Linked DNA regions of Oreochromis niloticus. The main gene of each other region encodes a partner of the protein of the gene in region 2 in a complex. Links are inferred from orthologs where the notes say so. Each region holds a gene or a part of one and is shown on either strand. Other genes may lie near its edges. The genes, in order: timm10 and agk.

Region 1 (3,925 bases), on a different chromosome or scaffold from region 2:
GCTGAATGAGTCTATCCAAAAGCACTTCATCGAGCCAAACGTCTTTCAATACAACACCATGCTCATCAGAAGAAGCCTTAAGGTCCTTCTGCAGGTCACCATCACCGTTTGCCTTAGGACACACAGGGGTGGTGACCTGATAGGACCTTACTGCTAATTCTGATAAATTACATTTCAGTGGATTATTTCTTTAACCCGACTAAAATTATTGGTTAGGTTCTTCACATCCTGCCCCAGAATTCAAAAAACTGCAACAAGGCTGACGATAAGCCACGAACACCTCTAACTGCCCGAAAGACCCAGTTACTGTCACTGTTGTGGTGAACTACAAGAAACAGTTAAACTGTTAAAAACATTATTTTACACAACATACTTGTAAAAGTATTGCCAGCATTGGGATACCAAAAAAAAAAACCCAAATCTGAAACATTATCAACTTACTGACATGTCAAAATGTTTCCTGTGAAAAGATACTAAACATAACAAACAAACATAACATGCCTCGCCCACCAGAGCCAACTAAACAGAACGGCCCATCTGACAATGTCCAACAACTGTGTGACGCCATCACGTCAAGACAGACCAAAATCTCTGAGGAATGTTTCCACCAATTTTTTTATATCTATGCTAAAGGCAAAAGGGGAATTATCACGTATGAGCAAGCAATAATCAGGTGGCAAGTAAGACATCTTTAATGGCTCTAAGATGTTGCCAGGTATCATATGAATGTTCAGAAAATTTTAACTAGAATTTGATAGAATTATTGCTCACTTCCATCCACAAAATGTAAACAAAAAATAGTATTTGGTTTATGGAGTGATGTCAAAAACTGGGTGCCATCAAATTACTGCAGAAGAAAATCCCAGCAAAATGACAGAGAGCCAAGAGCCAATCAAACCTCAGTCAAAAAAGTAAAGCAAGCGAACTGCTTGTTTGTTGCTCTGTGTTGAACAAACCAATAACTCATAGCTCACGTATATTTATTCATCTTTCTCAAGCCAAACACACTTGGAAAAAAATATACAAAAACTATTTTCTTTGGCAACTGACTGAATCTGACTCGGGCTCGGTGGGCTTTAACTGCAAGACTTTATTAAAAGCACATGAATGTATAATTTGTGCAAGGTCGTTAAAGGATAAATATTAACCAGGCTAGTTTTTTCTTCATTCAGAGACGCAGGTCTGTGCTGTAAAGGTTTCTTCCAAGTATAAAAATACTTGTGATCAAAATCACTTAACTGTTTTTTTGGGGGTATTTTAAAGTGAGGTTTAATTTAATAAAAGCTTAAATTAATTCTTTTGTTTTTTGTCAGGTTTTTTTTGTAAGCCAAAAAGAACATTAAAATCCACACACCTGTCATCAGGTAACACAGCCTATTTGCTTTAACTATATGTGGACGTGATAAAGAGAAACCCTTTGTGAGCGCTGCATTTTAGGTCCACATTTACAACACATGTATTTCATCACTGACCTGTGCACTGGCGCATAGCAAATCATTATCAATGCTTCTCTTGCAAATAGAAAATAACTTGGGCTTTTCAACAAAGACAACAAAGACAATGACCGGGGGGCAGCTATAGGCATATAAATGAATGCACTCTTACTCTTACACCAGTGACGGCATTTAAGTAGATTACTGTGTTATGACACGAGGACACATCTTTATATTATGAGTAACAGCCGTACTGTGCCTATACTGTAATTTGTGCTATGTGAAGAAAATTCAGTGAGTTAAGCACTTAACTCAGGTCTTTAATTTTTAGTCAGTATAGCTCTTTTTAAAATACACTGGATTTAACCCTTGCCACCCTTTAGTAGAAGCCTCCCCTTGCCTTAAACATGCCGGCTGGTGGGCCTTTATAATAATGAGCTTTTTAGCAGGACACTGACTTTATCAGGTGTTGCTCGCATTAACGATGAGCTCTACAGGCTCAGCTTCACTAAACAGTAATTATCTTTGCACATTATTCTGGCACACTGTAAATAAATGTAAGTTTGACACATAAAAGCCGCCACACTTCACAGCAGACTGCTGTGGCTAGCTGAGAGGTTAGCTTGTTTGGGCTTTACCGGTTGTACATGTCAGCCATCATCTCCACCTCCAGCTCCGCCGCCAGCTGCTGCGCCTTCACAGGATCCATGGCTCCGCTTCAGTTCTGCTCACACCGGGTCTCGATCCACAAACACGCCGTCCCGCTGAGCCTCTCCTCCGGACAGCAAGCAAGGAGCACTACCCGCTGCTTCAGTAACCTTCAAACCTGCACGAAAACACGTGTGTACCGTTTCCTCCACATACTTCCGGTGACAATAAAGTTGGATTCAAAAAGCAGAAAGCGGAGAGAGCAGGAAGTGCGCCCTCTACTGGTGTGTGTTTGAATGTGTATTTCTCCAAAGTAAGATAAGAGCCTCACAGGGAGATGAAGGACAAAAAAAAAAACGCTCAAGTTCAAATCAGAATGAGGAAGTTGGTTTGTTCTGTATTTCTGAAACTTCTGTCTCCATTTATTTATTCATGCTATTTGTATTTTATCTATTAGTACATATTAACCAGCATCTGTGTGTGGACAGCAGAGAAAGAATTTCATCGTACAGAGAAATGCTTTTCTTTGTACACATGACAATAAACGTTTTGAATCTTCTGAGATGTTCCAATACAGAGAGAGATCAGAAAAAGATCAAATGTCCAGTGAGCACCAGTTCTCTGGGTAAAAATTAATTGTGGATGGCAGACGACAAAGGAAAATGGGCAGACTGCTGCAAGCTGATGAGAAGGCAACAGTAACTCAAATAACCACCGGATGCTTGGTTTTGGGAGTGGAAAAACTGCTTCCCAATTGTACGTCTCCATTTCTTCTGCAGTATTTGGATGGTTGGTCAAGAAGTTTGTGAAAACATAAAAGCAGAGATTGACCTTGCTTTGTGTGTCATGTCCATCCCTTTATGACCACAGTGTACCCATCTTCTGATGCCTGCTTCCAGCAAGACACTCAAAGGGCCTCCATAGATACCAGAGCTCAATCCAAAGTATTGCATTATAAATGTGTAGCTCATAAATCTGCAGCCGTGACATGCAATGCCGTCATGTCAATATGGACCAAAATGGAAAAGGAATATTTCCAGCACTTTGTTAAATCTATGCCAATTAGAGTTCTAGCAAGATGTAACTAATAATGTGGCCAGTGAGTGTATATTCTGTAGTGCCCTCTTGTGTTCAGCTATGGTGCTTTTTAAAGAAAGCAGGCTGTCACATGAAAACGTTTAATAAACCATAATTATATTATGTACTGATGTACATAAAACACTTTTACAAATATAGACTTAAAACAACAGATCTTTTCCACATTGGAAACATACAGAGGGACATCACTGAAGGCCACTCAAGTGCCTTTTCCTCTATTCATCTGACAATTTCGCTGAAAATGTAAAATGTATAAAATTGACAAAACAAACTTATTGTAAACTTTTTCTTTAGCATATTATTAATGGAAATTAAACATCTTTTTGAACCGCATACACAAGGAACTAAACGAAAACCCAAAGTGGTGCAAACATGAAGTGAAGAATGTAAAAATGAATCTTTATACGCAACTTCATGTGACATGTGAACATAAATACAACCAGAACAGAGACAGCATTAGAGTGAGAGCCGACCACTGGACGGGGTAAAAAATACACACACGTACATGACGTTACTCTGCTTCGTCTCCAGTCACGTCAATCTCATTCACATCATCTTCCTCATCTTCATTCGGAGTCATGTCTATGTTGTTGAGGAACCCCTCACACTCTCTGGTCTGAGGTGCTTTTTCTGGGGAGCAAACCAGGACATCCACCTCTTCTTCCTCCTCCTCTTTTCCCTTTTTGTCTGTACTGGTTATCTTCACGGTCAAGGGGTGCAACAAGTCCAAAGCTGTGTTTTCTTCA
Region 2 (3,925 bases):
CTTGAGATATTTCTTGGCCCAGTCTTGACGTTTCAGCTTGTGTGTCTTGTTCAGTGGTGGTCATCTTTCAGCCTTTCTTACCTTGGCCATGTCTCTGAGTATTGCACACCTTGTGCTTTTGGGCACTCCAGTGATGTTGCAGCTCTGAAATATGGCCAAACTGGTGGCAAGTGGCATCTTGGCAGCTGCACGCTTGACTTTTCTCAGTTCATGGGCAGTTATTTTGCGCCTTGGTTTTTCCACACGCTTCTTGCGACCCTGTTGACTATTTTGAATGAAACTCTTGATTGTTCGATGATCACGCTTCAGAAGCTTTGCAATTTAAGACTGCTGCATCCCTCTGCAAGATATCTCACTATTTTTGACTTTTCTGAGCCTGTCAAGTCCTTCGTTTGACCCATTTTGCCAAAGGAAAGGAAGTTGCCTAATAATTATGCACACCTGATATAGGGTGTTGATGTCATTAGACCACACCCCTTCTCATTACAGAGATGCACATCACCTAATATGCTTAATTGGTAGTAGGCTTTTGAGCCTATACAGCTTGGAGTAAGACAACATGCATGAAGAGGATGATGTGGACAAAATACTCATTTGCCTAATAATTCTGCACTCCCTGTAATTGAAAACTGAAATTCAGCGCTTGCTGTCAGATATGTCTTGCTTGTCTTTCAGTTGTGTGTGCTAGGAAACATAAACAGGTGTCACTGAGATGGGAAAGATACTGCAATATGACACTTTTATATCATGGAAAATGTATATTATCGCAGATGATATGATATGGCACAGCCCAAGTGCCAAGGATCCTGAAGCCTCTGGGAAGAACTTTTTTTTTTAATTACTACACACCTTGGACATGAAATAATTTGCATGGAGACCTGAATTTAAATTTGCTTATTTCTTCTGCTGAATTTAAAGTCATCAACATGGCAAAAGAGAATATTAAATATTAAGAAGAAAATTAAAAATAGTAGTTTATGTTTACGTTTAGCCCAACATGTATTCAAAATATGAAAAGAAAGTCAATGAATAAATAAGTTTGGGTGGTACAAAAGGAGAATAAATGAAAATCATCAAAATAAATGAATGTATATATTTTTAAACTGGAAAAATAATGTCACATTGGAAAATTAAAAAAAAAAAAAAATACTCACAAAAACCGATAAAACTCATTTTTTTTCTTGTAATTTTCTTTCATTATAATAAATATTCATATATGTTTTTAAAAATATCTATATTTTTTACCTAATGGCTTTTAAAATAAATATTAAATAACTTTGTAATTTTTAAAATGTGCTTTATGAATCCAGTTTACCGGCTTACTCACTTGTTTTAATATTGGCTGTTAAAAACAGCAAGATTTTTTAAAATAAGTACAGATTTAGTTTGTAACTTTAAGGCTGTGTAGAGCAATATATAAGCAGTTTCTCACTTTGATTTGGAGCACATCCAGCGGTACAGTTTCTCCCTTCAGTATTGACAGTGTTGCTGATGTGATGTCCCTGGAAAATGAATGACATTAAAAACATTCTAGTTAATGGAAGAAATCAGGAATTCTGTACTATATATTTGCTGAGTGACATGATAACAACCCAGTGAAGTTTGTCGTGGGAATATGTAATGATCTTTTTGTGTGTGATGCTGAAACATTACTTACTTGACCTTGTTGTCACTGAGGAGATGAAGACTTGGACTGAGGGAATTATGGGAGCCTAGTGGAATGAATCCAATTGGTGTCTTACTGAAGACGTCCTGTGGTCAGAAAACATCCACCAAAAGAAAGATTTAATTACTTAAAGTATCAGACCGAATACAGTTATTACAGACAGATGATGTCAGATTAACACAGCTACTATATTACATTACACCTACTTGGTCTGGCCTTCTCAGTAAACCTGTGATCACTTCCTGCAACGTGCCATCTCCTCCAGCCACGATCAGCATGTCTGTTTCTTCCATTAACTCGATCAGTTTTTTTGCCTGGCCTTCATAGTCTGTCTGTAGAGGGATATGTAATATCTAGATGTGATGTCATGCTCTGTGACACTCTCAGAGACACTATTACCTGATAAATATCCAATTGAAATAGAAAACATTACCTTGACTACTGTAATCTGCACACCAGCCAGGTGTAAAATAGGAGCAGCATTCTTTTCAAATAGGTTGTTGGCTTTCCTGGAGAAAATTAACACAGGAAGCTGTAAATATTCTGAGAAGAATTAAACAAGACTCTCAGAGAGATGTCTGGAGATTATGCGTCTTACCCGTTGCAAGCTGCAGGGTTCAAAATCACAGTTGCTTTCCTGATTCGCTCCTGTGGTGCTATCTGCTGCTGTCCATATTCCTAACACAAATGATGATGTTAAGGATAACTGTCACAAAGAGGAAACTTGTGTTTTGGGGTAATAATTTTGTGACACCTTACCCTGGCTAGTAGACACGCCTCTCTGCGCAGGACGCTGTCACTGATGAAATATTATACATAACATTTAGGACACGAAAACGGGAATTTGTGCACTCTGTCTCATTCATAGCATGAAATACCCACCAGTGTTTTCCATACAGCCAGTATCCACCGTAGGACAAGACACACACAGCAAATGTGCTTTTCTTCCAATGATTTCGCAAAGTCCGAAACACTTTCACGACTCGAGCCATGACTGTGATTAAACTGTTTTCAAAACCTCAATTTTAGCGCAGTGGTACAGATCATTAAACGTCATAAACGACACATTTTCATCACAGCGGTCACAGACTCACAGATATAAGACTAGCATGGACATTTTGGTGTACCGTCAAAACAGTTGGAAGCAAAACAGGAGCCTCAAACTCATGGTTCCGCTTGTGTTTTGTTTTTTTTCGGAACTATTTCTAGTTGCATATTTTTTTCAAGTATTGCTTTATATAAGTCTCCTAAAAATATTTTATTTTTTAATTATTTTTTTTTAAGTTTACAGATTGTAGATTTAATTAAATGCCTTAAACGCTTTAGCTTACAAGAACTACAATTCCCATAGTTGCTAATGGGGACGGGGCCATCATTCGGAGGACCCCGCCTGAAAAGAGCCCACATAACCATGAAATCTTCTAAGATATTTAATCTACTCAACTAACCAGCGAGGACATTAAATTAGGACTGATAGATTCGTTGTTCACTAAAAGTGACCAAAGCGTTACAGAATTGATTGTTTTAAATTTCACACCGGCACAAACCCAGAAGCTTCTGTCCAACTTAGTGAGCGTATCATGGCGGCGCAGATGGCGGTAAATTCGGGTAAGGGTGTATATTTTATTAAATAATTGGATTTTGTTTAGTTATTGCATCAAATCTCAACCTCTGTTATGCATAGAAGCGCAGATATATGCGCTTCTTGGCCGCAGATTTGTCGATTATGATATGTTTTGACCACATGTTGTTGGGTCTGTCAGGCTAACATAGCTTAGCCTTACCCATAGCAAATAGACGTTAAGTTAGTTGAGGTTAAATAACAAATTAGTTTTACTCATTTACACCGAACTAATTCCCACATTAAACCTGAAATAACAGGGAGGGATGACAAGACTTGTCTGATAGATCAGCCGACCGGCTTGAAATAAAATTGAAACTAACAACTCGGGGGAGGCAAAGAAGTGTCTGTACTATACTTCTGGAATCTTTTATAGTGCTGTGCAAAATGCCGCAGTGGTGTTAACAAGCATGGTTATAACAAATTAACTCGAAATGACTAGAAATTAGTTGTTTGCATACTTGTGTGACGGCCCAAGACATCTGAAAGCTTATTTACAACCTCAGGAGCCAGTCTGTGGGGGCCGCTGAAAGAGCTCTGGGAGACAGTGGACGGAGCTGTGTTAAGGAGACAGCCCGAGAGTGTTCACCTCCTAGACCTACAGCTGAAGAAACACAAACCTCACTTTCTGTCACTTT

The links.
Region 1: the proteins of agk (region 2) and timm10 are in contact, whole or in part, in a cryo-EM structure (PDB 7CGP), measured with the Homo sapiens proteins. The link is inferred for Oreochromis niloticus from reciprocal best matches to the Homo sapiens genes AGK and TIMM10. Residues at the interface, in NP_060708.1 of Homo sapiens: Phe49, Gly50, Asn51, Gln52, Leu53, Ile54, Pro55, Pro56, Val60, Ser91, Gly92, Met93, Asp94, Val95; in NP_036588.1 of Homo sapiens: Glu40, Glu42, Leu43, Ser44, Lys45, Gly46, Ser48, Arg53.

Annotation. Positions count from the first base shown.
Region 1 is NC_031971.2:36,379,542-36,383,466, forward strand, and holds the start of timm10 (mitochondrial import inner membrane translocase subunit Tim10), read right to left. Parts: upstream 2,305-3,925; 5' UTR 2,143-2,304; coding exon 2,072-2,142; intron 1-2,071. Other genes in the region: uncharacterized protein LOC102082595, read right to left, coding at 3,691-3,925.
Region 2 is NC_031972.2:61,904,296-61,908,220, reverse strand, and holds the start of agk (acylglycerol kinase, mitochondrial), read right to left. Parts: upstream 2,820-3,925; 5' UTR 2,659-2,819; coding exon 2,549-2,658; intron 2,466-2,548; coding exon 2,426-2,465; intron 2,345-2,425; coding exon 2,265-2,344; intron 2,176-2,264; coding exon 2,100-2,175; intron 1,999-2,099; coding exon 1,873-1,998; intron 1,753-1,872; coding exon 1,658-1,752; intron 1,503-1,657; coding exon 1,433-1,502; intron 1-1,432. Other genes in the region: nuclear pore complex protein Nup205, read left to right, coding at 3,247-3,274, 3,794-3,925. UniProt on the Homo sapiens protein: Lipid kinase that can phosphorylate both monoacylglycerol and diacylglycerol to form lysophosphatidic acid (LPA) and phosphatidic acid (PA), respectively. Does not phosphorylate sphingosine. Phosphorylates ceramide.